2 linked regions of the Oryzias latipes genome follow. The protein of the gene in region 1 purifies or fractionates together with the protein of each later gene. This does not show direct contact. Links are inferred from orthologs where the notes say so. Each region holds a gene or a part of one and is shown in the gene's direction. Other genes may lie near its edges.

Region 1 (4,288 bases):
CAGGTGACATCAACATCCTTTTTGAACCTTTGGAGATACAGTTTGGTTGGGTAGACTTATGGATTAGTTTAAATGAGATTTCTTTCACTTTATTGGTTAAGAAATATTTTTCTGGTAGATTCCAGATCTTTTTCCATGATTGGTAAACTCAATTATTCCAATAAAGTACATAGGGAATGGACACAACATCCTTCTGAAAGAGTGAGCACATGCGGCGATTTGTGTTACGTGAAGAAGAAAAACAGATTTGACCTATTTGTATTTTAGTTGGGTCAATTGGTAATAAAGTTGGACTCTGCAATGATGTTAAAAATCACATTTTTCCACCAGTGTGTTACTGTAGCGTTTCCTCTTTTCTTTTTTTTCTTTCAAAACTTTATTGAAGATGTACAGGATACAAAATCAAGTCAGTTTTTAAGTACACAGATAAAAAAAGAATAACAAAATGTGCCAGGGGAACATAAAGAATAAAGGACGAAAAAAGATTATAAACAAGAGCAGTCAAAGCAGTAAGTTGCTATTCTATACATTTAAATAACGTTTTCTCTTCTTTTTTTTTAAACTTTATTGTACAAAACGTAAGTACGATACAAAACACAATTTTACTAAATAAAATTCAGATATGCCAGGGGAGCATACATACTAAATACATTTTACATAAAAACATTCAGGTTTCTGCAACTTTCATATAGACATACTGCTTTCTGATTAAGACTCTTGGAGATGTTACTGATATACATTTCAATTTGTTTGATTAAAATAGGGAAAAATAGAAGATGGAGAAAATTTAAATGTATGTATATAAAATTTGCCAAAAATAATAACAAGATTAACTATGAGTTTTTTTGTTTGACTCCAAATTTTTATTATGAAGGCCAAAAATTATATGTTCAAACTTTAGATTAAAGTTGGGGTGAATGCGATTTCTAATAAATTGCAAACATTTTTTCCAAAATATTCTAATTATAGTACAATTCCAAAAAAGATGGTCAATTGTTTCTGGAAATTCTTTGCAAGAAGTACAGTTAGGGTCAATTGTTTTAATGTATTTTAGCATAAATTGATTGGTGCGGTAAATTTTGTGAATTATTTTATAAGAAACTTCTTTCATTTTATTATTTATCATAAATTTTTGGGTCACAGTCCAGCCTTTCTTCCAGATACTGTCGGGAACAAAACGTCTCCAGTAGGTTCTACGTAGTACACGGTAACGTTTTCTCTTCAAGCAGCGCACGCGGTTGCTTGTGACGTCATGACGTCCGTCAGCCGCACTTGACGTTCTTCAAAATGGCGATTCTGTTGTGCCAGCGGGTGTTCTGTTCGAATCTGTCGCTAACTTTGGGTGAATAACTGAAGTCTCGTGTCGCGTTTGTGCTCTCCGGTTAATCCTGTCGTCGCCTACATGATAAAGGTACGTGCTGCGTCCTTCCGCCGGAGTCCGGTGACTCCAAATTTGACTTATTTATCGTAGCTTGTCGGCTCCGGCGGCTTTGCTAGCCGTTAGCGGGTACATTCATTCAGTTTCATCGCTTTACTGGCCGGCATGTTTTGGGAACATCCCCCCCCCCCCCCCCCATTATGAGTTTTTGTTTTTTTTCTTCAAAAAAAAATCCCAATTTTTAGGTTTATTTATTAATATACTTGCATCATTAAAGAGAAAGCGGTGAACACTGGTGATCATTTTCTAAGCTTTTATTAATTTGTGAATCTCTGGCTTTTATTTTATTTTTTGGACGTTTTTACACGACTCTCTAAATAAATTTAGGCCCATTTAAATACAAAATTGTATTTAAATCAGAATGAAAGAGCTACATCTGACTGACCAAAGTTGTCCATAATATCGACATTTATTGCTATTTTCAGCAGTCCAGCAGCACAGCAGGTCCATCCACCACCTCCCCTCAGTCAATGAAGGAGTCCAAGGACTTCTCGGGCGGCCAGTCCTTCCTGGATCACATCAAGCCGTGCTGGTACTGGGACAAGAAGGATTTAGCCCACACCCCTTCCCAGTCCGAGGGTCTTGACCCCGGGACCGAGGCCCGGTACAGGAGAGAAGGAGCCCGCTTCATTTTTGACGTGGGGACTCGACTCGGCCTGTATCCTCGATGGGTTCAGTAATCTGAGCAACGGGTCTCAGTTTGCAGCTATTTGAATGCATTCTCTGTACATTTAGCTCACTTGTTTATCATGATTGGGCGATTTTAAGGCTTCTATTGTGCATGAAGTAAACTCCTATGGTGAGGGATTTACTGTTTCTATGCTTCTGTCCTTCTGAAATGGATTCTTAACTGCCAGCAGACATTATGACACTCTTGCAACTGGCATCATATATTTCCATCGCTTCTACATGTTTCACTCCTTCAAGCAGTTTCCCAGATATGTATGTTCATGATTTATTTACTCTTTTGGTATTTTTTTTTTTTTTTCATTAACACAAAAGCTAATGTGGGATTTTGGGTTTGTGTTTCTACAGGTGACGGGTGCCTGTTGTCTTTTCTTGGCTGGGAAAGTGGAGGAAACGCCAAAGAAGTGTAAAGATATCATTAAAACAGCTCGCAGTTTACTCAACGATGTCCAGTTCGCCCAGTTTGGAGATGATCCGAAGGTGCAGTTCTATTTTAATAAACAGTTTTTTTTTTTTGAATCTTTCATGCCACACATTTCTGTGAGTCTGAAGTGCAGGACAGTCATGTCTGACCTTGTTCAAACAGGAGGAGGTGATGGTGCTGGAGAGGATTTTGCTCCAGACCATCAAGTTTGACTTGCAGGTGGAGCACCCTTACATGTTCCTGCTGCGTTACGTCAAACAGCTGAAAGGTGGGACGGGGTTCGTGCAGAACCGCTGCCCCAATGGAGCTCAGAAAGACTCATGTTTTGTTTTGGTGCTTCAGGAGACAAGAACAAAGTATGCAAGGTGCTCCAAATGGCCTGGACCTTCGTCAATGACAGGTAAGAGGTGCTGATTCTCGCATTGAGCTTTTAAGAATCTTGTAGTTGTTGCTAAATGTGTGTTTGAGTTAGAATAAATCGATCTACACAGTTGAGATAAGGCCTTCACTGCTTTATTTGCGTCCCTGGCAGCCTGTGCACCATGCTGTCCCTGCAGTGGGAGCCGGAGATCATCGCCGTGGCCGTCATGTACCTAGCAGGCCGACTTTGTAAGTTTGACATCCAGGAGTGGACCTCCAAGCAATCGTCGCGGCGTTGGTGGGAGCAGTTTGTGCAGGACGTCCCAGTTGAGCTGCTTGAAGGTTAAAAAAAAAAAAAACTTTATTGTTTTCCTCAAAAACGTGGGGCTTTCAGTCACAGCTTCCTTTGGTCCCTTCAGACATCTGCCACCAGATCCTGGACCTATATTCTCAAGGGAACAAGCCCATCCCTCAGCAGGTCCAAGAGAAGGAGAAGACGGCGGCTGTCACACCCACTGCGTCGCCGGTGCCGCAGGGGCAGCTCCCAGTTTCCAACCCGCCTCCCCCACCGCCAAAAAAGACGTCGCCGCAGGGGGGCAGTCCCGCACGGCAGCTCAAACGCTCCCACGTAAGCAGGAGTCGTCTACGCAGCAGCTGTTTAACATCATTACGAGCTGTCAGATGGTAAACTCGCTTTTTTTTTTGTAAATTCTTTCAGACATCCCCTAAAGATGAACCAAAGGCTCCAGGTGAAACAATTTCTTCGTTTTTTCGCAGAAAAAATCTGCAAGAGAGAATATTTTAAATATTTGTTCCGTTTTTTTTTTTTTTTATTAATTTTTTTAATTTTAAATTTGCAGAACAAACTGGATCAAAAATTCCCCGACTGGAGAGTCCCATGCCCCCACTACCGGCTGTTCAACCACCAGGTGAGCAGCTGTTCCTGAACTTCTGTTTGTGTTGAACCGAACAGGATTAGTGTTTATACTCCAGTTTGCTGATCTGATGGCAGATTTATTGTTTGCATGTTTGGCTAGATAGGAACTGAAGCTCATAAATCAGACTTATGTAATCAGTTCGTCTGTTTCAAAACATGCAGGCTGTTCCAGACCAATCTGATTAGGGCTTAATCCAAACGAGGAGGGCTCCTCTTTTCATTGTTGGAGAACTGAGGTCATTCGAGGTCATGAAACATCTAACTTGTTGTTTTTTCTCCTCCTGTACCAGCTCCTCCTGCAGAAGCAGAGCCAGGAAGTGAAGTGGCTCCTCCTCCCCCTCATGCTCCACCTCCCCACCAGCCCCCTCCCCTGCCCCATCGCCCTCCACCTCCTCCACCCTCCAACTACCTGATGTCCACCAACGCCTCGTACATGTCCGGA
Region 2 (4,470 bases), on another chromosome or scaffold:
TTTTTGGGGTAATAATAATTACAGCAGCACTCATTCAGTGTGCAGGGACCACATGCTAACGCCTTCTAGCAGCTATTTCGAGTGCTAGTCCGCCACTGTCAGTTGACAAAACACGGAAAACTCACCTCAAACCGGCTCCGCGAGACGCCGTTCACCTCCTTCCCCATATTGGACTCAACGAATTCGGTGTGAGCTCGGGAAAACACAGACTCGGGCCTTTTCCACGATAATCATATCCCCCTCGGTAGTTCCCAGGTCGCGACGTCGCTGTCTCTCACGGCCTGTAATATAAACAACCAGACATCTTATTTCTGGTTAAAAAAAAATTAAAAAAAAATAAATGCAGGTTAGTTAGTGGCAGCAACAGCCAGCCAATAAGCCACCTCTCTTCTTATCTACTCGGTTTGCCCTCACCTCCTCCTTCCCCCGTTCAGCTTTAGATCCATCCACACAATAGCACGACAGGAATGGGATCAAATTGCCTAAAACTGTAACGCTTCTTCTATTTCACTTGCAAATAATACATTATGTCGCTTTGAGTCGTGGTTTTCCGTAAATTAGGACAGCTGTTTTACTTACTAAACGGGTTTGCTTTGATCGCCTGCTGATCTTTTACTAGCCAGAGCTCCCAGTGTGAGCCGAGCACAAAGATATCCGTCAGTGTGGGGTGTCACCCTTTAAACGAGCACATGTAGCACAAATACCTGGCCTGGCAGGGCTTGGGTAATATTTATACATATCCGATTTATACCGTTTTATTTTAATCCCAAGATAATGAGTTTAAAAAGTTCCTACCCGTCTTTAAAAGGTACACACGACAGAAAACAGGAATGCACTGATCTTTTATTTCCCATAAATTGTTACAGAACTGGTTCAGGGATAATTCATAGAAGCTGTGGATGTCAATAATAATGTCATAGTTTGTATTTGAACACTTTATAAGGCCACGCAAACAAAAACTGAAACGGTATAATTGTGTGGTGGAAAAAATGTACTTCCGCGTTGGCTCTTGAACACGCCCCTTTTGAAAAATACAACTAACCAGAATCCAGATCCACTCACAGTCTATTACGTATTAAGCCTGTCAACCAATCATTGTCGAGAAAGACAGCAGCTAAAAACATAAACAAAATGAAACGATATTAATAATGTCTGTATTTCTTTTAATCTTTAGATTGTCTATTTGAATCATAGTGATTTATTGTTTAAAAATGTTTAATCATTTTCGTTCAGAAACTTTAATATGTAATTAGATTTTATTTGCGTACAGAGACTGTTTCTAATATTTGACTCCATAAAGTTTTACATGACAGTTTCGGCCCTTTATTTCTGACGATTAATAATACATAAAATAACATAAGTCAAACTAAGAGGTCCGTGAACCATGTTATAATACACTCGTGTCTTTGGTCATATGTGAGAAAACCGAAAGTTTTCGAACAGTTTCAATATGCGTCCTTAAATTTAAAGCCATCGGAAAATCTCGAAAAACTTAAGCCTTTTTATTGAAAATAGGCTTGATGGGGAAATTATCTAAGAAATATTGGTTTTCTTTGTTTTTTACTTAAAATGTTACGGGCTTTATAAGTGAACGTCATATAACTAAAGCTATCATTTTAATTTAATAGCAAGTTTTTATATGTTTTGAGTCGTCGCAGCTCGTATCAAACCGAATAGGCGGGAGCTTGAATGTGATTGGCTGTTGCTAAGATACGTACAAGATTGACAAGGCACCGTCTTCCGGTTTGCTTGCTATGTGTGCGCAGACGTTGTTAGCCACGGGAGCCACAATGGCGTTTGTAGTCTCCTTCAGATAGGGCTGTGGATGATACTAAATCCACTAGCATCGCCCTAACTAAAGGCCTGGTTGATTTCCAGAGCCATTGATAATAAACTGGAACAATTATTGCACACTTAAATACTATGATTTCGAATCATTACTTACTTTAAAGGGGTAAAACTTACATTAAAGGGAACATGTAAACAGAGCCAACCGGGTCAAGTTTTCAGTTTGTTCGAGAAGCAGGCGTCTTTTATTGAAGACATTTGCTTGTTTCTGAAAGCTGAGACCGTAAATCTGTGGAATAAAACACCTTTACTTAACTTGGCACCGGACAAGGACAGCTTTCACAAAGGGATTTTTTTTCTTTTTTACGAGTCAGCTTTCTTGCTGCCGACCATTAGCTAGCCGTGCTAGCTACGTTCAGACGGAGACGAACACCACAATGCTCCTATGTTTGGTTTGGACCTTTTTCGTTCACTAATTGAAGGTGCAGAATTCGTGGCACTGGAAAACAACCTCGACATCCTTTTTGCCTTGACGAAGCAAGTTGGTGACCTTAAGGAATGAATTGGCGCTAAGGAGGACTGGACTTGAGCGGCCTGGACGAGTGTGTATGTCTTGAGCTGTTAATTTCTTTTCTTTCATTTTGTTGTTTGATATAGCATCAGTCTTTTGTGGCTTTTGGAGACGCTACTATTCTGTGAATGTATTGCCTGGATCACCGAGGCCCGGTAACAGCAGAGACCCCGGCGTGAGGTATGCCTGGGTCGGAGCGACATCATGGGACCAAGAGGAAGCCGGATTTTAGCAGCGGTGTGTTACACCAGCCCCAAGGCCCTGCCCATACCTCTGAGGAAGACATGACGAGCAAAGACGGTAAGCTGCAGTTCAAATCTTCCATGACTTCCTCCTCGTCTGCAAAACGTAAGCGGCATAAATCAACCAAACATAATCGGGAGTCATCGGCGGCTTTGAGGACCGAAGGTTTTACCCTCGGCGATACGGCGCCTCCTGGTGTCAATACGGTGAAGCCTCTGGTGGAGTACGATGATATCAGCTCGGACTCGGACACTTTCTCAGATCCACCGTCCTCCAGACCTTCTGATAGAGGGGGCGTGGACCGATTTGATCCATCACCGGAGTACGATCGAGAAGAATTAGAAGTAGACAGACAAATTGAGAGTAGAGAAGAAAGGCCACCCCGAAAGAAGTCCAAGGACCCGAATAAAGTTAGGGACCCTGGAAATGGGGAGCATGGGTACAAAAAGAGGAGCAGCAAAGATCAGGAGAAAGGGAGCTCCTTGAAGAGCAGAGATAAGACCACTGCCTTAGGTTCCTCATCCAGACAGCAGCTCCAGGCAGAAGGGGACTTCAAACGTGTGGATCCATCCATGCTCTCAGCCCAGGTGCAGCCTGCAGCCAGTGTGGGCAGCACCACTTCCTCCACATCCTCATCCCGCAGCAAGGAGAGCGGGCGCTCCGGGAAGGGCCGCAAAGACAAACAGCGCAGAGAAGGCAGAGGAGATGGAAGCCACACTTCTTCTCAGAGGAGCCGCACAGACAGGACCCACCGCCGGTCCTCCAAGAGTCACAAGTCAAGCCCCAAAGGCAAGTCTTCAAGTAGAGGTAGTTCTCGCAGGAAAGGAGTGGGCTCTGCTCTGTCACCCAGTCCCCGAAGAAGACCTGGCAGTGAGAGCCCACTAGGCGGTAACTACGGACAACAGGGAGAAGACAGTTATTCCAGGAGAAGAATGGTTCAGCAAAGCCCCAGTCCCACCAGGGACATGTCCCGGCGCAGCAGACAAAGATCTGACAGCCCTTATGGTAGTAGACATAGGTCCTCCAGCTATGAGAGGGACAGCAGCCCTTACTCCAGAAGGCGCTCCATCAGCCCCTACGGTACCCGGAGGTCCTCCAGCACCAGCCCGTTGTCTCGGTAAGTCAAAACGTCACTTTTAAAGACCCACTCTGATCATCTTTTGGCCATTTTTAGCCACAAAAAAAAAAACGGTGTAGTTGTAAGCAGGATTGTTGGTGTGGAGCAACCACCCCTCCCCCTTGTCATCATCCATAAATGAGAGTTCTCTGTTTACACGCTCTCCTGGTATCTTACAGGCCCTCACACCCCCAACCTAACATTACAATTTTGAGCTGGATGCCAGTTCAGACGAGGAAAACTAAGTCGTACGTGGATTTAGTCAGAAGCGTTAGCGTATTTTCTATGACACAAATACAATCCTCCTGATTCACAGGAATTTGGACAAAGAATTGGTCAAATGCAGTTTTAAGCTTTTTTTCCCCCCTTAATATATGTCCATCATCAGATGAATGCCACAAGAACGTGTCACAAACCGCCCCGCAAAACACATGTTTTTTATGGGAGTAGGGTCTTTAAAGTCCTGCTGCTAATAAATGCTGACTCTGGTTTTTGCAGAGAAGGAAAGCAGTCGGAACAGTGGAAGGAGTTGGGCTTTAAATTAACCCCTTTTTGTCTGCCAATGGTCATAGACTGTAGGCATTGGTCCACACCCTAAAATCTGTTCCTCTGTCAAAGACAAGTTTTTGATCACAATCTGGAGATGCCACATTTTAAAGCATATATTCAATAATTAGTGTTGAGGCCAGATAACATTCTGTGTTTTTTTTTTTTTTGAGGCTGAAAGAGTAAGTTCTTTGCTGGTCTAAGG

The links.
Region 2: the proteins of ccnk (region 1) and cyclin-dependent kinase 12 purify together in Homo sapiens (affinity purification with mass spectrometry; 6 studies listed by BioGRID and IntAct, with this or other methods). This does not show direct contact. The link is inferred for Oryzias latipes from reciprocal best matches to the Homo sapiens genes CCNK and CDK12.

What each region holds. Positions count from the first base shown.
Region 1 is NC_019882.2:3,583,716-3,588,003, forward strand, and holds the start of ccnk (cyclin-K), read left to right. Parts: upstream 1-1,264; 5' UTR 1,265-1,402; coding exon 1,403-1,411; intron 1,412-1,863; coding exon 1,864-2,096; intron 2,097-2,298; coding exon 2,299-2,380; intron 2,381-2,473; coding exon 2,474-2,605; intron 2,606-2,711; coding exon 2,712-2,817; intron 2,818-2,891; coding exon 2,892-2,949; intron 2,950-3,081; coding exon 3,082-3,251; intron 3,252-3,328; coding exon 3,329-3,537; intron 3,538-3,627; coding exon 3,628-3,658; intron 3,659-3,769; coding exon 3,770-3,838; intron 3,839-4,136; coding exon 4,137-4,288. UniProt on the Homo sapiens protein: Regulatory subunit of cyclin-dependent kinases that mediates activation of target kinases.
Region 2 is NC_019866.2:5,843,698-5,848,167, reverse strand, and holds the start of cyclin-dependent kinase 12, read left to right. Parts: upstream 1-1,650; 5' UTR 1,651-2,541; coding exon 2,542-3,719; intron 3,720-4,470. Other genes in the region: F-box/LRR-repeat protein 20, read right to left, coding at 126-167. UniProt on the Homo sapiens protein: Cyclin-dependent kinase that phosphorylates the C-terminal domain (CTD) of the large subunit of RNA polymerase II (POLR2A), thereby acting as a key regulator of transcription elongation.